5 linked regions of the Mus musculus genome follow. The protein of the gene in region 2 interacts with the protein of the main gene of each other region in a pairwise test. Links are inferred from orthologs where the notes say so. Each region holds a gene or a part of one and is shown on either strand. Other genes may lie near its edges.

Region 1 (4,299 bases), on a different chromosome or scaffold from region 2:
GTTTTTCCTGCCTCAACAAACGTTTCAAATTTTATTCAACCAACTGACTATTGGAATTAGATCATTTTTATTCTTTTGTTATTTAAAAAGCACTCCAATGAATATCATTAGGTCTATTTTGAGGAATTTAAAGGATAACCTATAGGACACTGCAAGGAGAACCCAGGCTTTGCAGGCAGATGTGCTGGCTAAGACTTGCGGCGACTCTGATGTCTGAGAGGAGTTGGACGAGTTCTCCAAAGGTCACCTGGGTTGAAGCCCATTATCATTTTTAGTTAAAGGTCTGAGTGTATTTATATTCTCCCCACCACTTGTTTTTTTGAGACAAGGCTTCTCTGTGTAGTCCCAACTGTACTAGAACTCGTTCTGTAGACCAGGCTGGCCTTGAACTCAGAGGTCTGCCTTCCTCTGCTTCCTGAGTGCTGGACTGTGTGTATTTCTTAACCGAAGCCTCAGTTTCCTCTCCTGAAACTCTACTGTGGCAGTGGTTGAATGCATCAAATGCTGGTCTGGAGTGACTGGGACGGAGCTAAGTGGAAGAACACTTGAAACCCTGGGTTTGGTCCCTAGATAGTGGAGTGAAACACAGGCCAGGCCTAAGAAATACGAACTACAGTACAAGGCATATAATAGTCACTCAATAAAAATATTTGCTGTTATTATTAAATAAGCAGTATGCTGTTTTGGGGGTGGCGTGGCAGTAGATTAAGAGCTATTTTCGCGATTCAACTGGTGTAGAATCAATTCAACTGGTGTAGTGGTTGAGGGCTTTGAAGCTGGACTAATTTTTCTCCAGCTCTCCTTTGCAGTATGGCTCCGACCATGTTCTCCATCCCCTCTGGCCCCAGTTTCTTTTTTCTTCTTCTTTCTTCTCTTCTTCTTCTTCCTCTTCCTCCTTCTTCTTCTTTTTTGGTTTTTCGAGACAGGGTTTCTCTGTATTGTCCTGGAACTTACTTTGTAGACCAGGCTGGCCTCGAACTCAGAAATCCGCCTGCCTCTGCCTCCCAAGTGCTGGGATTAAAGGTGTGCGTCACCACGCCGGGCTAGTTTCTTCATCTTTAAAAGCCAGGTTTCAAGGTTCTCCGATAGCTTAAAGCCTAACACTTCTTGGTGCTGAACACGCGTTTTACTCAGCTCCCCATCTGACGGCGGCGACATCAAATAATCCAGCAAGGGCTGGAGAAACAGACCAGTGAGTAAAGGTGCTTTGCCACCATGGCTAAGAACTTGAGTTCCATCCCAAGGACCCATAAAGTAGGAGAAACCGGGACGCTCAGATCGAGTCCTGCCCTCTATAGGTGCACCAAGGCACGCTCTCATAGGATAAATTAGATGTCATTTAACAATAACGGAGCAAGAACGTCTAGAAACCCGGAGGGAGAGCTCCCACGTGACCACAGCCAGCCCCACCGGTTTCCCAGGAGGCCGCAGTAACGTCGCAACCACCTAGGCAACGTCTTTGCTCCACCCCCGTCCTCCACTTCCGGTTTTTACGTCATCGACGGGCGACGGGTTCCGGGAAGGGCTGCGCGGCTGCGTAGGGGTCGCAGGTGATTTCGAGGCGGCTGGTGCGGCTTGGGGTCGCCATGGAGAGCGGTTCGCGACCGTCGCTCGGCCAGGTCATCCTGCTGGGCACCAGTTCGATGGTCACCGCCGTACTGTACTCCATATACCGGCAGAAGGCCCAGGTCGCGCAGGAACTCAAGGTCAGTGCGGGGGGTGGGGTGGGCAGCCCGGTCTCACTGGCAGCTCGCGCCGGGGCGCACCGGGGAGCCACAGGGCCCCAGACGACGCGCAGCCAGAGGGGATCCCGGGCACCTGCTGCAGCGAGGCTGCCCCCCCCCAGTGACCCTCAGTGTCACTGGACGTTATTGCAGTGCTGTAAAACTGTTTCTCGAAAACCTGCTGGGCACCAGGTAGTGAGAAAAACAGGCCATTGTCCTGGTGCACAGTGCATTCTAGGTCAACCACACGCCTACACGTAATTGGATCGTGTGATAGGGCGAGAATCGGGTTGGAGTAGGGCAGAGAAAAGCGGAAAGATAGGGAAACGGAGAGTTCCGTTCCTTTTGCTATAGTAAAATATCTGACAGAAAGCAGCTTAGGAGAGGGAGAAGGGTTATTTCGTTTGTAGTTTCAGGTTACCATTCATCATCGCGGGGAAGTCCAGGCCAGGAACTTGAGTCAGCTGCAAATCACGTCTGAGTCGAGAGAAACAACTATTAAACAGTCCAGAGCCCAGACCTAGAGAATGGTGTCAGTCACAACACAACAGCGAGTTTCCCCCCTTCAGTTAGAGCTATCAGGACAGTGTCTAAACAGCTATGCCTACACAGGCTGACTCAATATAGACAGTTCCTTGTTGAGACACTCTTTCCAAGTGATTCTAGATTATGGCCATTGACAGGGGGGCGTCGCCATTTTAAACAAGGTGATACTTGGGTCGGAGATGGAGGATGTGAAGATATGTAAGGCAGGGGTGATTCCAACGTGAAGAACAGCAAACTTAGAGGCTCATTTGGAGAACAGAGAACTTAAAGGCTCATCTATTTAACCGCTCCGCTCCAGGTTTCTACAGTCATTTCTTTGTATATTATAGTTACTTTAAAACTACATTCTCATTTGAGGGTTGCACTTAACAGCTCAGACGGCACATTTCCGTCTCTGTTTTATTTTTGTCTCCAGTCCCAGGTGATCTTTTGGCCTCTATTGGGTACCAGGCATGTATGTGATACACAGACATGCATGCAGGCAAAACCACCCATATAATAAAAAGTAATAAGGTAAAGATGTGAAAGGCCCTTGCTTTTGTGTTAGGACCCAGAGATAAAGCTGGGGTGGAGCGGAGCCCCCAGGGGTCTTCGCCCTCACTGGCTTGTCGCTGTTAATTTAGCTTTTGTAGTTGGCTTGTTGAGGACTGGTGGCTGAGGCTGGCTCTTATGGGTACCGTGGCACAGCTCTGCCTGGAACTCCAGCAACACGACACTTTTTGTCCTCCTTTCTTAGTTGACCGCCTTGCTCTGTGGCACCTGTCAAGCTGACGAACCTTGAAAGGGCGGGGGGATCATCTTCATCTCTCGGTTCTTACCTCAGCGTGTGACGAGCAGTAGCTGCCCAGCGCATGGTGGTGGTGTTATGCTGGCTGGAATTTCACAGTCCATCAGCCAAAGACTTGTTCTGGCAGTTGTATGGAAGATGGACTTTGGAGCCCAAGTCTTATCACCAGGTTGGTTTCAGTAAGGGCTCAGAAACAAAACCGTGGAGTTCTGCAGTGAAAAGGATTGGATCAGAAGTTCCCAGTGTAACGAGGCAGAGGCAGGTGGGTCTCTGAGTTCAAGGGACACCAACCAACCAACCAAACAAACAAACAACCCAGAAAACCAAGCACAAAAAGACAAACAAAAAACCCAGAACAAACAACAACAAAACAAGTGAAGGACACCTGCAGATGAACGATACGTCCTAGGCCAGCCTGTGGTACTTGAGACTTAGTCCCTAAAAGGATGAAATAACCCTTCCTGGAAAAAGCTGTGGGAGCCCTAGTGTCCGCTTGCACCTGTTGGTCAGGTCACAGCTTACAGAGCTGAGTTTGTACTTACTCCCGTGTTTTTCCTGGTGACACGAATGTTTGATTATTGCATGGCTTCTGTCGTAGGGTTTTACTGCTGGGAACAGACACCATGACCAAGGCAACTCTTATAAAAGACAGCATTTAACTGGGGCTGGCTTACAGGTTCAGAGGTTCAACCCATTATCATCAAGGCAGGAACATGGCTGCATCCAGGCAGGCATGGTGCAGGAGGAGCTGAGAGTTCTCCATCTTCATCTGAAGGCTGCTAGAAGAATGCTGGCTTCCAGGCAGCTAGGACTAGGGCATTAAATTAAACCCACACCCTTAGTGACACACCTACTCCAACAAGGCCACTTCTAATAGTGCCACTCCCTGGCCCAAGCATAGACAAACCATCACAACTTCCATGTGTCCGCTCTGGACTGTGTTTTCCCATACCTCAGAGTTCATTTATCCCACTCAGAAAATTCCATGAGATCGTCTTCTCCCTCCCTTTACAGTTTGGAAGCAGACTCAGATGAGTGAAGTTGTTCAGAATCGTCAGGGATATGCTGCTGCTTGAGCTAGCCCGGTCTCTGCTGAGGTTCCTTCTACAGTGTGCCAAGCAGCTAGCACCTTTTAGATACGCATGTAAAAGTACTTATGTGACAGGAGTTTTGTGTTGAACTGGAAAGCAGATGGTGACACCTCCAGCCTTGGGGAAGGGGAGCCCAGTGCCCCTGGCCTAA
Region 2 (3,511 bases):
TATTCAAAGTTAGATGCCTAGTTAGAATTCAGATCTCTGTATTCACAGAGTATCATGATATCATCTATAGCCCCTATTAAGCCATCATTAGGTAGTATGTTTATTGTTCCTCCACTCTGCCTTTTTTTTTTTTTGTGCCCCCACCCCCTGAAAAAGCACTTTTGGGTATTCTTCCTGTCCCCTGATGCTCCTTTGAAGCTCACAGTACACTGCTAATTATAAAATAGAAAGTTCTTTTTTCTACAAGTCCAAGTGATGAGTTTACTCTCTCAACTGCTTTTTGTATTTGCTTAGAAACATACAAGTATTTATTCCTGAAAAAGAGATGTCAGTTTCTTTGGTGCAGTAACTGAAAACCTTGCTTTTTTTATGTCAGTGTCTATAGGAGAGTGACTAAGAAAGGACAGTAACACAGATGATGGCCGCAGCCTTCCTCCCAGTCCTTCACTTTATTCTGACATAGGAAGACGTTTGGCTGAGCTGGTGATACTCACCACTTTCACTAGAAGCTGACCTAACCTTTCAAGAATCATTTATCTTCGTACTTTGATGTCAAAACTTTTCTCCATTTTCCATGTTCATGTGTGTCCACAAAGATATATGATATATGACTATACATATACACGCTTATATAATGCCATTCATGTAGATTTAATTGATCAGTTGTTCACCTGTTCACTTTGTTCTTAAACCAGGGTAATTCCTGGTATTGTATGTAGTGCATGCTGATAGTCCCAGTACTCAAGAAACAGAGGCAGGAGGATTGCTGTAAGTTTGAAACCAGTGCAATGTGCACAGCAGGTTCATGTCACCAGACTTACACACCTCTTTTTTTTTTTTTTTTTTTTTTTTTTTTTTTTTTTGACACCTTGTGTCAAAAAGAAACAACAAAAACAAATGAGCCAAATAATAGTTCTTTCTATGTTAAGTCAAAATAAAGCCAAAAATCAATACTTTTAACTAAAAAACAACTACGTAACTTTTAAAATAGTTTTGAATAAAACTACTTAACTGTTATTACATCCAATGTAAGAACAGTACTGGTTAATTATTTACGGTCAGCATCGTCTGTAATGTGTTACTGTTGAGATGAATTGGGAATAAGCCGTGTTTGCTTCCTGTTTGCTGTGATTGTGTATAGGTTACTTTCCGTACCAGAATCTATCACTGCAACATCAACAGTCAGGGAGTCATCTGCCTGGATATTCTGAAAGACAACTGGAGTCCTGCTTTGACTATTTCAAAGGTTTTGCTCTCTATTTGTTCCCTTTTGACAGATTGCAACCCTGGTAAGCAAATCTTTATGAATCTACAAGTAAAATGTGTTTTTTTAATGTTGGTCAAGACATAAATGTTACTATTAGGAAGAGCTGCATCAGAAATAGAGTATCTAGTAAGAGACTAGGTGTTAATGAGACAACTCTGAACTCACAGGGAGACGGTCTTTAATAGTATGTCGTAATACAGGGACCTTGAGAGATATATACACACCGTAGTAATGTTAAATTGTAGGTGCAAGACATATATAGAATATCTGGAAAAAAAGTTGTATGCCAAGGATTGAGTTCTGAGTCTCGGGCATCCAGAAGGGAAGCGTTTTATTGTGTCTGTATTGGCTTTGTTTGGTGTACTTTCTATACACAAAGCATGTGTGCATGCTTTGCTTATAAAAGTTTTAACCTCAGATTCAACTTTTACTTCAAAATTCTATTTAAAATAAGATGACAGGTAAGTTTTTAGACTGCTTATGTTTACAATTATAGATGTTACTTCATGACTGTCAGGGATCGTTTCATTCTGAATAACATTGTAAGATGGAGGCTTTATGTGAAGCTTAGGTAACGATGCTTAACAAGAAATGCAGCCTCAGACTTTCATAGTTGAATAAAGTGTCAAGAATAACATGACAGGGAACTTGCATCCTTGACATCTCAACAGAATATCTTGGGGCACCTAAGCAAGACCCACACAATGTCATCAGCAATTTCAGAAGTCCCTACCCCAGCTGCTAGGGGAGCAAGAAGATGTCATTTCTAGTGATGAGCCCCTGATAGGTTACATCTTTATTCCTAAACGGTCAGCCCTAAAGACATAGACTGAAGAGAGAGGGAGAAAAGAAGGAAGGCACATTAAAGAAAGGAGTCCTGGCTTTGGATAGAGCTAGAAGTAAACGTAATGTAAATATAGTCGTGTAGGATTCTCAAAAAACAGAAAGTTAAGTCTAAAATATTTGTTAAAACACATATCTTTTCCAAATATTAAACTGTATAGCTGTTTCTTGACTATTTTTTATGAAAAAGTAAAAACATTCTGAATTAAAATGCTGCCAAACTGTAGCTGTTTTTATATAATGCCTTGTTAGAACTATATGTTTAAAACATACATGTTTTAATGTCCTTTTCACTTTTCCAGCGGATCCTCTGGTCGGAAGCATAGCCACTCAGTATTTGACCAACAGAGCAGAACATGACAGGATAGCCAGACAGTGGACCAAGAGATACGCAACATAATTCACATCATTTGTATGCAGTGTGAAGGAGCAGAAGGCCTCTTCCCACTGTGCTGCGGATCTTTATAGCCTTTACAATACGGACTTCTGTGTATATGTTATACTGATTCTACTCTTGTCTTTATCCTTTGGAGACTGGGAGACTCCCCCAAAAGGTAAAAGCTACCAAGAGTAGAACTTTGTAGCTGTAGATTAGTTATGTTTAAAATGCCTACTTGCAAGTCTTGCTTCTTTGGGATATCAAAATGTATTTTGTGATGTACTAAGGATACTGGTCCTGAAGTCTACCAAATATTATAGTGCATTTTAGCCTAATTCATTATCTGTATGAAGTTATAAAAGTAGCTGTAGATGACTAGGAATTATGTCATTTGTATTAAGCCCAGATCTATTTCTGAGTATGTGGTTCATGCTGTTGTGAAATGTTTTACCTTTGTCAGTTTGTAATGAGAGGATTTCCTTCTACCCTTTGTAGCTCAGAGAGCACTGATGTATCATCTCAAACACAATAAACATGCTCCTGAAGGCATAGTTTCTTGTCATAATGTTGAAAGTCTTGTCAGAAGGTGTGTCTGAGATGATTGTTGATGAAATAAAGACGTGGCTATGAAGATTGATTATTAAGGACTAGTACAAATGAATTATTAAATTGAAAACATTTAAAAATCCTGTGTGTAGAGTTTTTTCCTTTAAGGAGAGAATACAGTGGGCTTAAATATGAAGCTGGATTTTAACCATTGGTCTTAAAAAACAATAACACACAAATTCTACATTGACAGTGTAGCATTTGAATTGAAAATGAAGTCCTGCGTTATTTAGGACTCTCTCCGTGTCTTAACAGAACATTTTGTCTCCAAATTGGTGATTTCTGTTCAACGCTGGGCAATATTGTCAGATAATTGCTATGCTGTGATTGCTTTTCTATGGTGCTTTTCCCTTTATTCCTGATCTTGAATTTTTATGGTGCATTATTGCTACTGTGATACATAGCCGGCAAGTGTA
Region 3 (4,125 bases), on a different chromosome or scaffold from region 2:
CTTAAGCAAGGTCTTCAAAGAGAAAGAAGCAGGCTTTGGTTCCCACCCAGTGTTTCCTGAGCACAGGATTTGGTCCTCCTGGCATCCTAGATGCAGGGGCAGCAAAGCACCGAACTAGACCGGTTTTCTACACTCCAGCTCCAGCCAGGGAAAGCGTTTCGCTAATGTCAGCTGTGGTGGCTACTCCTGGTGGTCAACTTGACTATCTGGAAGGAATTACAACCCAGAATTGGAGGGCTCACCTGTGATCCAGATCTTGAGGCTGGAAGACACAAGTTTCTGACCTGGATCTTGACATGGAGATCTTGAGGTACAGTGGCCATTAAGTTTAGGACCAGGCAAGGCAGTACACGACTTCAATCCCAGACTGGGGCAAGGAGTTCTCTGAGTTCAAAGTCAGCCCGGGAGAAAGCAAGTCCCAAATCCAAACAAGGTGGTGCACACCTTAATCTGGGCCACGCCTTCTGCTGGAAGTCTACATAAGGACATAGGAAGAAGGAAGATTCTCTTCTTCACGGGCTTGCACTTACTTGCCAGCACATCTGTCGGAACCTACTTCTACAGAAGACCAGCTGAAAGAACTAGCCACGTGGGACTGCGCAACTACTAGATTCTTGGACTTCCCATCCACAGCTGCCCATTGTTGGGTTAGCCTGTAAGTCATCACGATTAATTATAGAGAGAGAAACATTCACTAGGTTCTGTAGCTCTAGAGAACCCCTGGCTAATACATCACCCAACCGGAGGAGGGGAAAAGACGCACCTCGGTCTGCAGCCAAGATAACTCACCTACTACAGCTTGCCGGTTAAATTGCCAAACCTCAGCCAGTCGGAAGTGACGTGCCAGCATAGACTCTCAGGTCGGCCACGTAATACACCGCCGCCTTAAACAGCAACCCTCCCCCAGAATTGACCCGGAGACCGGGAAAGTGTGGCCCAACGCCCACAACCCGTAGCCGCCCAGGCCTCTGCGGTTCCCAGCCCCACCGAGGACCAGCTTGAGCCTCTGCGGGCTCGCTGACCGCGCAGCTCTGCCAGCCCAGCCACGGCGCGCTGCCCGCCATGGGGTTCGGCGTCTCGCCACGCGCATGCGCGGCCCTCAGTCTCCGGGGGACCGCTCTGGTCACCTGGGCGCCAGCACCTCAGCCACGGGAAGCGGCGGGTTCCCTCTCGCCCGGTAAACTAGCCGCGCAGGCCCTCGCCTCCGGCTCTCCGCCCGCCACCCGCCGCGGGCCCGACTAGGCCCTGGCACGGCGGCTCGGCGCCGCGCAGCTGTCTTCCATCGCCGCAGCGCGGCTTCCGCTTCCGGCGAGTATTGTGTGTCGCGCCGCGGGGCGGGGGTGAGGGGAGGAGGAAGGAGGGAGGCAGTGCTCCGGCGGCTCCGCGCCCGGCACTCCGGGACCCGGAGCCGGGAAGGTAGGTGCTGCGCCGCCGCCACAAGGGTCCCGCAGCCGGCTCCAGCGAGCGGGCTCCTCTCGCCGCGGCCCTACGCCCGGCGAGTACGTCAGCCGGCCGGCGCGCAACCACAGCTGCCTCCGCCCGCCTCGGGCCCGGAGGACGTTTGCCGCCCCGGCGACGTCAGCGCGTCCGGCGTTGCTTGGCTACCCCGCCGTTCCCCTGTCCCGCTGCCTTTGGTCTCCCCGGGTGAAACTGACGCAGTCATCGCGGGTCTGGGCTGCGACATGGCAGCGGGCATCCCACCTTCACGTCACACCTCTCCCTCACTTAGACACGCATCCGTTCCTCCCTGCCAAGCACGACGTATGCTCCCTCACTCTGGTCCTCATGCTCCCGATATGGCTGGAGAAGATGGAGAACGGGTGGGACAGAGTTGTGGCCAGTGCTTGAAAGAGGCTCCTGAGGTGGTACCCAATAGTGATTAAAGGCAAAACGTGGACGTCTCTGACGCGATTACTTACACTGAGATCGAGTAATGGAGAGTGGGAGGAAGGATCAAGCCAGAGGAGCACAAGGCCATATTATGGCTGCCCTCTACACCACCACCACACCACCCCCAGCTCCAAATCCTCTCCGTTCTTCACTATCCTTGAGCCCGTTTCTCTCTCATACCATCTATTTGCTAATTAGATACATGCAGGTCTCTCAAGTGTGAATATGGTTCAGTTTTAGGTGAGGATGCCACTTATCTGTAGGATTGAGGAGGAGGAGGCTAAGTCACTAGTCAAAACTGGATTCTAATGGGCAGAGAAGAAAGAAATCATCCAACTGTACTTATCTGGATCAATTCTTTTCTCCATTAAAAGAGGATAAGTTACCAACTCCTACTTAAAATCCTTCCATTTGTACCACCAGTATACAGAAATAATCATTGTTGCCCCAATTCATTACATGGGCACTTTTCTGTCGATGGGTAGACCTATCAAATTTCCTTCCTTTTTGGGGGGCCCCTTTTGGGACAGAAGGAAAGTAGGGGGTTATGGGACCAGATAAATTAGCTTACTTATGTATTGACATCTTAAGAATGGAGAGCTTTGGTTGTCTCTTTCCATACACTTATTCATTTATTGAGACCAATAACTATTTATTGGTTATATTTAATTTAGGCTGGCCTCGAGTTCCTGAGGCTCCTGCCTTTGCCTCCTCGGTACATGCGCTACCTACCTAGTATTAACCATACCTGGCTAATTTCCTTCCTAATCACTGACTATCTAAGGAGTTAGTTATCAGTAGTGACGTTGAAAGACTGCAGTCACCACTGAATGTTTAGAATGTACTTGCCAGCTCTCTCTCCAAGAAGCTGCTGCCCTCAATGCACTCAATGGTGCTTCCTTAGAGCTGATATGTATTTGTTGCTTTGCAGCCATCCCAGCTGCACACAAATAGAAATGCGGTGAGTGACAGGAGCATCTTCAAGAAGAGAGCGTTCTTCCTTTGGGCTAGTTTGGGGAAAGGAAGAACCATGTCATGCTTTCCCTGAAACAGTGTGTTACTGTAGTGTAACTCATTAAGAGGAACAGCAGACAATCAAGGCTAGACTCTAAAACAATAAACTTCCTATGACGTTAGAAGAAGTAGCTTGGGGTTCTTTGAAATCGATGCAGTAATTATATATGAAGTTCTTTAAAGTAGTAATGAGTTCTAGGGCTGATAGTCAGTTTTAATAGATATGTAGATATATTATTTGTTTTACAAATCTTACTCTACAGCCCAGGCTAGCCTTATTCTTGTATTGATCCTCCTGCCTCACAGTGAGCCACCATGCCCAGCTAAAATCTTAATACTTTGGCTTATGTGACATATCTCATTTCCCATGGTTCCCTCCCTGTAGAAATAAGATCTGTGTAATTCAAGCTAACCTAGAACTCATTGTGTAGCCTACGTTGGCCTTCAGCTAATGACAGTCCCCCTACCTTGACCTCAAAAATGGCTAGGGAAATGGGTTTCAGTCGCCATATCAGGCTCCTTTTCATTGCTGGTATTGAAAAAGCAGAGGTAAAGAAATTCTGGGCACTGCTGATATTTGCTGACTCAAAATAATAATAAAATAATAATAACAGTGATGGGGAGAGGTCACACACACTGTAAATAGACCAACAGATGAAAAGGTGGAAATGGGAGAATACCAAGATGGGGCTTCATCTAGACCTATGGCTTACTGGGAGCTAATGTCAGGAAACAAAATAACCCTCCAACTAACACTTCTTTCCTCTCTCCCTGCCTCCAAGTTATAATGGCAGAGACAAGTCTGTTAGAGGCTGGAACCTCTGCAGCCTCCACAGCCGCTGCTCTGGAGAACCTGCAGGTGGAAGCAAGCTGTTCTGTATGCCTAGAGTATCTGAAGGAGCCAGTTATTATTGAATGTGGGCACAACTTCTGCAAAGCGTGCATTACCCGCTGGTGGGAAGACCTAGAGCGGGACTTCCCTTGCCCTGTCTGTCGGAAGACATCCCGATACCGGAGTCTCCGGCCTAACCGACAGCTAGGCAGTATGGTGGAAATCGCCAAGCAGCTCCAGACGGTCAAGCGGAAGATCAGAGATGAAAGCCTCTGCTCCCAGCACCACGAACCTCTTAGCCTTTTCTGCTATGAAGACCAGGAGGCTGTCTGTCTGATATGTGCAATTTCTCATACCCACCGGCCCCACACCGTCGTGCCGATGGATGA
Region 4 (4,184 bases), on a different chromosome or scaffold from region 2:
GGATACTGCTTACAAGACTGCCAACTGAACGCAGTCTTCTAGCGAGAGCCTCCACTACTTTAGTCAGGTCCCCCTACTCTGGCTGGCCGAGACAGGTGTCTGGACTGTCCGCCCCAGGGCTGCTGGGTCTCTTTCCTGCAGCTCAGAGGGTGATGCTACTGGGCTGCTGCTGCCGCTGCCACCGCTCCGACAACTCTTCCTGGAGACCCATCTCAGCATGTCAGGCTCCTACTCACTCCTGATGAGTGGCTTCAGTTGTCAAGGTCTGCTCTGCATCTCTAAGAGAGAGTTCTTAGCCACTGGGAGAGGAGTGTTGAGAGCAAGAGGGGCTGAGCCTTAAAACTAGCAGTGGCTGACAAAGACAAATCTTTTATGTTCTGATTTCCTCAGAACCACGCTCCACAGCTGAAGATGTAAAATCTAATGGAAACTCATATGGTACTGCATCATTAAATATTCCAAACCCACACGAAACAAACTGAAAAAACAAGAACAAGACTCACCCGAGGGTCACCATCAAGTTTTCTGTTTTATTTAAGATTTTAGTTTTAATTCTGAAGAGAGAGGTACATTTCCTTGTTTTTAGTTTTAGCATCAGGTTATAACCAGGTTTGTTTTCTTTTCTCCTGTCTTTTCAATACTGCACAAACGTCCAGAAACTACAGGGTTAAGTAAAAGCTGCAGGCAAAGAGGTCAGAGATTTGCTTCTGTTGGTGATCTGATGGCCCCAGAGCAGTGCTGGCTCAGAGTGCCCTGTCAGGTGGACTTATGGTCAAAGAAAAAAAAAAGATTCTGACAGAGGAGAAAGACTGAGGAAATCACATAGAATTCAGCTCTTATAAGGATAGGTATTGAATCTGTGAATATCTTTTTCCTTTAAAACATCTGAATTTAAGTCTAAAGCCAAAATTTTTTCTCCTTAAAAAATTACTTTTCCTTCCTTATAAACTCTTTAGCAGTAGGCCAGTTACGACTACAGATCAATTTATCTTCTCATCAACTTCCAATAAATCCCTTTGCTTAACAACACAATTGAGTCCTCCCTATCAATTCAATAAAGAATTTAAAATGAAAAGCATTTTTCCTGCAATAGTGAAAAGTTGAATACAAGATGGAAGCCAGGACCACTGCTTTCCCCCATGAACTTAGCAATCTCATTTAAGTCGGCCGTGCTCTCAGTTCTGCAGTTGACAATGCATTTACTTGACCTTTCCTATAGATTAATTGTCATTTTCTGCTAAGCAGATTATGTCATTATGAGCGACAGACAAACAGTAATTTTCTAAGTATTGAGACTGCCTTTTGATTTTCTTTTTCCTCTGCTTAAAAAGGCAATTCCTGCCCCCCAGAAACATTCAACAGTGTCACTCACTCAAATGCTGGATCAACCGAAACTTTTTACAATGAAAGAAAAGATGGTAAAGACGCTGTGATCGCATCGTATCTGGGGGTAGGGAGAAAAAAACCCGACCAGGAGCTGGATTCTTCAGAACGTTAAGAGATGAGAAGGGAGCTGTGAGTGGGCTGAGGGGGAACAGGGTGGGACAAATCCTGCCCTTTTCAATTCCCTCTTTGCTTAGTGGCGGTCCAGTGTGGAACTCTGTAGCAGATCTGTGGGGGTTTTGCTGGGGGGTCTGAAGGCTGTCTGGAAGCCTGGGGGTGGAGAGTGGAAGCTGGAGGGATTTGAAGGAGGTGGGTAGGGGTTCCAACTGGCTCTGTGCAGAGGGATCTGTGTGCTGAAGGGGGCGCTGTGATGGGGTTGTGACGAGGCAGCGCTGGGGCCGTCCATCTCTGTGAGGGCCTGTAGGGATTTTAGCCAGTGTGGAGGATTGTCGTCTTGAATAGAGTCTAAAGTGTTTCCTGAAGATGCTGGAATACCTACAGAGGAAACAGGAGACAAAAAGAAAATGGTGAGTCTGTCAGGAAAGAGGGCCAAGTTACTCAGGTAAACTTTAAAAGAGTGATCTGGCCACCCAAGAAATAAATTACAATTGTCAATTTCCAAATGAAACCTTTTCAGCCTTATGATCCTTTAGCCACCCTCCCTCCCCCTTCTCCAGCAATGACCAAGACTTACTGTGACACAAACCCTCATAAAACTTGGTCCCTCACTTTCAGAGGCGGAACAGCAAAAAACAAAACCAAAAATCCCCACCAAACAAGCAACCTCCCCGCCAGAGATTCCCCAGGCCTCCCAAAAGTAAATGGTGTGTTTCCCCATTCCCCCGCCCGCCTCTAGCAGGGATCTGGACACAGACAGCCTTATATAGAGAGCTTTATAAAGAGTGGAGTATGTTTCTCTTAAGATGGCTCAGTTAGATCCTTTAGTACTTTGAGGCCTACAAAATACACACGTGCTGCCAGACGGTAACACCTACTTAGAGCAAAAGGAGTGACCAAGGCACAAGCGCCTCGGAACACAACTAGGCAGACAGGTTCACCACGACCCTAAGAACAAACCAGGCTTTGTGAAAAGGAAGCAGAGACCCCTGCTCTGACTTAGTCTGACGCCTGTGGGTGGAGCTGAGGGGCGGGGGCGGGGCCGGGGCGGGGCGGGGCGGGGAGGAAGTTACCTGTGATGATGGCTGGGTCTGTCCAGCTGCCAGGGCTGTCCCAACTCACGCTGTCCGTGGTGGCAGTGTTGGACGTTGGTGCACTGTGGTTGGCGTTGGAGGGGGAAGAAGAATTGGGCAGTCCACCAAAGTTGATGTTAATGTTGGGTAGAAGTGCCCTTAGCCCGTCCTGCCATTCCTTCATATTTAAACTCTCTACAGAACTGTTGTTGTCTGGGAGATTTACCAACAAAAAATGAAAGATAAAAAAAAAATAAAAAGCTGACGTTAGAAACATATGTTGTTCTTTAGTGGCTAAGCGGGAGAGGAATTTCTTTCTTTACTGAGCGTTTGTGGGTTATCCTACCGAGACAAACTGGGTTAGGTCTGTGCTTGTGAGCTCGGGACCTAAGTGAGGGGCAGGGAAGCTCTCTCAGGCCGACGGGACAGGACAGGAGGGGCCTGCTGCTCCCTTTCTAGACTGATCTCTACATGTGGTGCAAATCAATAATCCAGCTGCAAGACTCAGTGCTCTAGAGACAAGCCAGCACCCGCTAAAGGATAAACTGTCAGTCAGAGAGGCATTTAAGCCAGCTCGGCCATTAAAAACATCCTGTGAAGTTCTATCTAGAAGCTCATTTCTGAGTTTATTAAATGGGAGAAAGTCATTTAATGAAGAATAAACATGATCTAATATTAAAAGAAAATGAAGTTCTCCTGATTATAAAATTGGTAATGCATTTCAGGGAAGCAAGCAGATAATGCAGGCTTCTGAATTTAGAAAGGATATTTCCCCTGAAGAACAGCAAACAGGGGCTGAGCTGGGGAGTCTTATAGTTTCCAGAGTCTATTTATGCATAGTGTCAAATAGAAGAGACTAGCAATGTAAAAATGGATTTTTATAAACTTCTGTTTAAACTTTTTAGAACTCATATATATTTGATATTTGGGGTTGGGAAGGTAAAGTCTAACAACTTCTTAGAATAATTATTTTATTGAGAATGACTCAAATAACCAACTGCAGTCTTTGAAAAGCAACAATATCTCTTTCTACAGAACTGCAGGCAGCACGGAGGGAGGGGACAGCAGAGACTGTGACTAGGCAGGCAGGCCATGCACTTTGGTTAAGTCAGAATTCTTTTCAAATTTTGTTTGCCCCATCACTGACCTATGCCAGATTCTACTAGGTCTCAGCAAATGAAGCATCACATGGTACTAACCTTCTTCATAAAAGACAAACACAACTGAAGTCAAGTGAGCTCGTCTCTGAACTTGACAGAAACGGAGAAAAGGTACTGTACACTAGGCGGACACCACAATGGGGGTGGGGATTCCTCGACCTGAACTAGCCTCCTTCACAGGCTGCTATTATTTACCAAGCCTTGTCCTTCTCACACCTGCATATTATTTGCGTTTGCATTGTGTTGTACAATTTACAAGGTACCGCACAGTTATTGATTTCATTTGATCCTCACAACAACCCTGTGAGGTAGGCAGGACTTAGACAAAGGACGCACAGGGACCGCCGTGCACACCTAAATCCTAGCTAATACTCTACAGCTGAGTAGGCATGAGAACCAGGGCAAGCTGGTAAGACAGCCCCAAAAGAGAAAAAAGCTGCCCATGTCTATG
Region 5 (4,055 bases), on a different chromosome or scaffold from region 2:
CAGCCTGAAGAGTAGAAATGTCAGCACATCAGGCCAAGGTCTGGACCTGCCAACCAACAACTTCCCTCCCCAACTTGAGGCCACAGTACCCAGTGTAAATGCCCTTCAGGCCTTCTGTCTTCAGGATGCTGGTGAGGGCATGGAAACTGGTTTTGTACTCTCGAGTCTTGGCCCCTTCACCACTCAACTGCATCCGGTTCTTCACCAGGTCCAGGGGCTGCACAAAGACTGTAGCACCCATCCTGAAGTGAGGCAGGAAAGGGAATCAGAGGTCAGTGGTTCCAGCTCTACTGCAACCTGGCAAGAAGTTACAAAGGTCAGGGCCACTAAGGATTCAGGAGGCTGGTGGGCATGTGTGTTAAGTGTGTGCATCAAGGGCAACGTGCCAGCAAAAGAGTCCAGTTGCCCAGTAAGGGGCATGCAAATCAAAAAGCCTCAGGCAGTTCTTTAGGGTTCAAGCAGAATTAGGACTACAGGCGATCTAAAGAAAGGTGGAGAGGGCGTCCCCATCCTAAGACTCCAAGCAGTCCTATAACAAAGCCTTTAATGACCTATACCCACCACCCAAACAGGCACAACGAAGCAAAGGTGGTGGAAACACAGGGTAAAGATCCTTGAATGCAGCACAGTTGGGTCCCTGCAAAGGATGAATAGATCCTGGCAACCCATCAGGGACCCTGCACCGGCTCAATTTACTGCAACACACCCCAAGTTACACTGGGCCCAGGTGCTTGCTCCCGTCCCTTCCTCCTTTTCCCCCATCACTGGGGCCTGAGCTTACCCAGCCAGGCCCCCAAACAGGAACTTGACAGACTTAGGGGAGGTACGGGGTTTCCCGTCCATCCGGCCAGCCCCAGGACTCGCCGTCGCCGCCATCGCCCCTTGATGGCCCTCGGCTTTGGGTCCCGTGCACGTACAGCCCCGCTCGCGCCCAAGGTGACACCAGCGCGCAACAGGGTGAGGGCGCGCGCGCGCACGCCCCTCCGACAGGCAAATCTGGCTCCAGCTGGAAGCTGGGGCGGGCGCAGGCTCGGAGCGCAAAGGCAGCCGGGGAATAAGGCGGGGCTAAGATGCACGATGAAGGGGCGTGGCCGATTTAGGAAGCTACCCTAAATTCCCGCCCCTCCGGAATTGGAATCGCGGGGAAAAAAAAAAAAAAAAAGCTTGTTTGAAAACCTCGCGAGAGCAAGTGAATCAGCCGAGTTCGGGCTATGAGGCCTCTCGCGATATATTTCAGCGGCGAAAGGGGGTGGGGGGGTGGAGGGAGGGTGGTGGCAAGCACTCTCGCGATACTTTGAACGTACCGTGGCGGCCAGACGAAGGAGAGGTTTGTAAACAGGGCAGCTCCAGGATCTCAGGGACTGAGGGAAAAAAACTAGATCGTCTCCTGAGCATCGAAGCTCCCTCCATCTCCGCAGGCTCCTTCTACATGTCAAACATTTCTTTCAACCGGCCTCTCGGGACCGGAAGTCCTCCGTCCTGAGCGTCCAATACTGGAATTGGCCTTTCTTACCGGAAACCCTTTTCCAGGGGCATAGGAAGACAGTCTACCTGGCCGGAAGTCCCACCTCTTTGAGGTTTCTCCTACCCTTCCGGAAGTTTTTTTGTTGTTGTTGTTACCTGTTTGCCTTCGCTCCTATTCTGTCCTATTTCTGTACTAGAGAAAGATACATTGTCTCCCCTACCAGCTCCGCTAAGCTGGTTTGATAGCTCACTCCCTGAATCGGAGTTCCTTCCCCGACGCCCCCATGTAGCTGAGAAGTGGGACCTAGGGGTGGTTGGACCCCTGGGATCCTGAAGGAGAGGCAGAGGAGGGCGCAGGACTCGGCTTCTGCTCCTGCGATCAGAACGCGACCTTCGCAGCTTTACCCCTCCCGCTGCCATGCACCCTGCGGCCTTCCCGCTTCCTGTTGTCGTGGCTACTGTACTGTGGGGAGCAGCCCCTGTCCGAGGGCTGATTCGAGCGGTGAGTCTGAGGGTCGGACGGGGACAGGGTGCTGAGAATGGGGTTCAGACTGAAACACGTAGTGTTCCGTCTGCAGACTTCGGAGCACAATGCCAGCATGGACTTTGCAGACCTTCCAGCTCTGTTTGGGGCCACTCTGAGCGACGAGGGACTGCAGGTGATGTTTTCCCCATTTCCCTATATGGATCCTGGGTAGGGGCGAAGTGGCCGTGCTCAGGAGGTAGGAAGTAGTGGAGTTAGCAGCGGAATGCAGTGGACTGCGGATAGTTCAATGATAGGGTGCTTTTTCTAGTATGAGTGAGATTCTAGGTTGAATCTCCAGCAAAAAAAAAAAAGTGTCCCCAATCCAGAAAAACCTAAGTGCATGATCATGTCCAGCGCGCAGAGTCCAGAATCCAGAGATAATAGATAGTGCCCACCTCTAGAACTTAACATTTTTTATTTTATATGCATAGGTGTGAGAGTGTCAGATCCCCTGGAACTGGAGTTACAGTCAGTTGTGAGCTGCTACATGGATGCTAGGAACTGAACTCCGGTTCTCTGGAAGAACAGCCAGTGCGCTTAAGCACTGAACCATCTACAACCCCTAGAACTCCCAAGTTTAAGAGGGAGTCTGAGAGTGGGCTAAGATAAAAAGCAGGTGCTTATCAGCAGTCTCTGGAGCAACTTACTGTTTGTATAGATGGCCATGGACAGCTTTTTATGGGTTCTGAGTCAAATGAGAAATAGAAATTAACCTAGGGCTATCGTGCCAGTGTGATAAGCATGTCTGTAGTAGTTCACTACAAAGTTCATGCCACATAGCAAGAATTCATTCGGCCACAGTTAGCAGTAGAGTTGTAAGATGGCTAATTGGAAAATGAAACTTGTTGAAAATGCCATGAATGAGTAGCAAGGTGAACCACTATCGGTGGGAAACTTAAAAGCAGAACTAAACTACGCTTGAGAAGTTAAGGGAGCCTCTGGTAAGGGATGTAGTTTACTGTAACTGCATCTTCAAGAAAGCTGAGAGATCCCTTTTCTTTTTTCTTTTTTTTGAGACTGGACTCTGGAACTCTGGCTGTCCCCAACTCACAGTAGTCTCAAGTGCTGGGATTAAATGCATGTATCACCATGTCTGAGTTGTAGATTCAGTGTTGGGTGGGATGCTCAGACCTCCAGAATGAGCAATGATAGAGCTGCAGAATGCAGGTAGTATATAGTGTTATGTGTGGTAGGTCCTGTGGAAGACAGAACTAAAGATGAAAATGTTTGCCTTTATCCCTCAGGGGTTCCTTGTGGAGGCCCACCCAGAAAATGCCTGCGGTCCTATTGCCCCACCACCCTCAGCCCCGGTCAATGGGTCAGTCTTTATTGCACTGCTTCGAAGATTCGACTGCAACTTTGACCTCAAGGTTGCTGAATGGGGAATGGGAGGTGGTAAGCAGGGTACATGACACCAGGAATGAAGGGCAAGGGTTACAGCTCTATCCCTCCCGCTTGGCCTCCTTAGGTCCTAAATGCTCAGAAGGCTGGGTATGGTGCAGCTGTGGTGCACAATGTGAATTCCAATGAACTGCTGAACATGGTGTGGAACAGCGGTAAGGAAGAAGCCTGCACTACTGGGTGCACCGTGGAGTTGAGTGGGAGGGCAATTGGTTGAGATCTGCAAAAAGTGCCAAAAGCCAGTTTCAGGGAATTGAGGAACAGAAGGCTAAATCCCTAATATCCTGCTCCTTACAGAGGAAATCCAACAGCAGATCTGGATCCCATCTGTATTTATTGGAGAGAGAAGCGCAGAGTACCTACGAGCCCTTTTTGTCTACGAGAAGGGGTAGGACGCATGCTTTCTTCCAGTTCTTCTCAATCCACTCAGGCTCAGGCTCTTCCTCGGCTGCCTTGACTTTCTCCTCATTATGCCTTGTCCCAAGCCAGTAACCCTATTTTACCTGGCTTGAGGTTGTGTCTCTCTCTCCTCAGGGCTCGGGTGCTTCTGGTTCCAGACAACAGCTTCCCCTTGGGCTATTACCTCATTCCTTTCACTGGGATTGTAGGATTACTGGTTTTGGCCATGGGAACAGTATTGGTAAGTAGCTGAGGAGAACTTACG

Evidence for each region.
Region 1: the proteins of Ube2e3 (region 2) and Mul1 interact in a two-hybrid assay, tested with the Homo sapiens proteins (2 studies listed by BioGRID and IntAct). The link is inferred for Mus musculus from reciprocal best matches to the Homo sapiens genes UBE2E3 and MUL1.
Region 3: the proteins of Ube2e3 (region 2) and Trim39 interact in binary tests that used the Homo sapiens proteins (3 or more experiments, as listed by UniProt). The link is inferred for Mus musculus from reciprocal best matches to the Homo sapiens genes UBE2E3 and TRIM39.
Region 4: the proteins of Ube2e3 (region 2) and Cnot4 interact in a two-hybrid assay, tested with the Homo sapiens proteins (3 studies listed by BioGRID and IntAct). The link is inferred for Mus musculus from reciprocal best matches to the Homo sapiens genes UBE2E3 and CNOT4.
Region 5: the proteins of Ube2e3 (region 2) and Rnf167 interact in a two-hybrid assay, tested with the Homo sapiens proteins (2 studies listed by BioGRID and IntAct). The link is inferred for Mus musculus from reciprocal best matches to the Homo sapiens genes UBE2E3 and RNF167.

Annotation. Positions count from the first base shown.
Region 1 is NC_000070.6:138,433,174-138,437,472, forward strand, and holds the start of Mul1 (mitochondrial ubiquitin ligase activator of NFKB 1), read left to right. Parts: upstream 1-1,498; 5' UTR 1,499-1,586; coding exon 1,587-1,706; intron 1,707-3,006; exon of another isoform or gene 3,007-3,121; coding exon of another isoform or gene 3,122-3,226; intron 3,227-4,299. UniProt on the Homo sapiens protein: Exhibits weak E3 ubiquitin-protein ligase activity. E3 ubiquitin ligases accept ubiquitin from an E2 ubiquitin-conjugating enzyme in the form of a thioester and then directly transfer the ubiquitin to targeted substrates.
Region 2 is NC_000068.7:78,917,546-78,921,056, forward strand, and holds the end of Ube2e3 (ubiquitin-conjugating enzyme E2 E3), read left to right. Parts: intron 1-1,141; coding exon 1,142-1,289; intron 1,290-2,412; coding exon 2,413-2,510; 3' UTR 2,511-3,038; downstream 3,039-3,511. UniProt on the Homo sapiens protein: Accepts ubiquitin from the E1 complex and catalyzes its covalent attachment to other proteins. In vitro catalyzes 'Lys-11'- and 'Lys-48'-, as well as 'Lys-63'-linked polyubiquitination.
Region 3 is NC_000083.6:36,268,628-36,272,752, reverse strand, and holds the start of Trim39 (E3 ubiquitin-protein ligase TRIM39), read left to right. Parts: upstream 1-1,319; 5' UTR 1,320-1,416; intron 1,417-1,975; exon of another isoform or gene 1,976-3,686; 5' UTR 3,687-3,691; coding exon 3,692-4,125.
Region 4 is NC_000072.6:35,021,555-35,025,738, forward strand, and holds the end of Cnot4 (CCR4-NOT transcription complex subunit 4), read right to left. Parts: exon of another isoform or gene 2,787-4,184; coding exon 2,574-2,786; intron 1,879-2,573; coding exon 1,577-1,878; 3' UTR 511-1,576; downstream 1-510. UniProt on the Homo sapiens protein: Has E3 ubiquitin ligase activity, promoting ubiquitination and degradation of target proteins. Involved in activation of the JAK/STAT pathway. Catalyzes ubiquitination of methylated RBM15.
Region 5 is NC_000077.6:70,645,987-70,650,041, forward strand, and holds the start of Rnf167 (E3 ubiquitin-protein ligase RNF167 isoform 1 precursor), read left to right. Parts: upstream 1-1,248; 5' UTR 1,249-1,882; coding exon 1,883-1,966; intron 1,967-2,028; exon of another isoform or gene 2,029-2,042; coding exon 2,043-2,123; intron 2,124-2,421; exon of another isoform or gene 2,422-2,606; intron 2,607-3,234; coding exon 3,235-3,360; intron 3,361-3,458; coding exon 3,459-3,546; intron 3,547-3,688; coding exon 3,689-3,779; intron 3,780-3,925; coding exon 3,926-4,031; intron 4,032-4,055. Other genes in the region: Slc25a11 (mitochondrial 2-oxoglutarate/malate carrier protein), read right to left, coding at 1-4, 90-242, 782-876.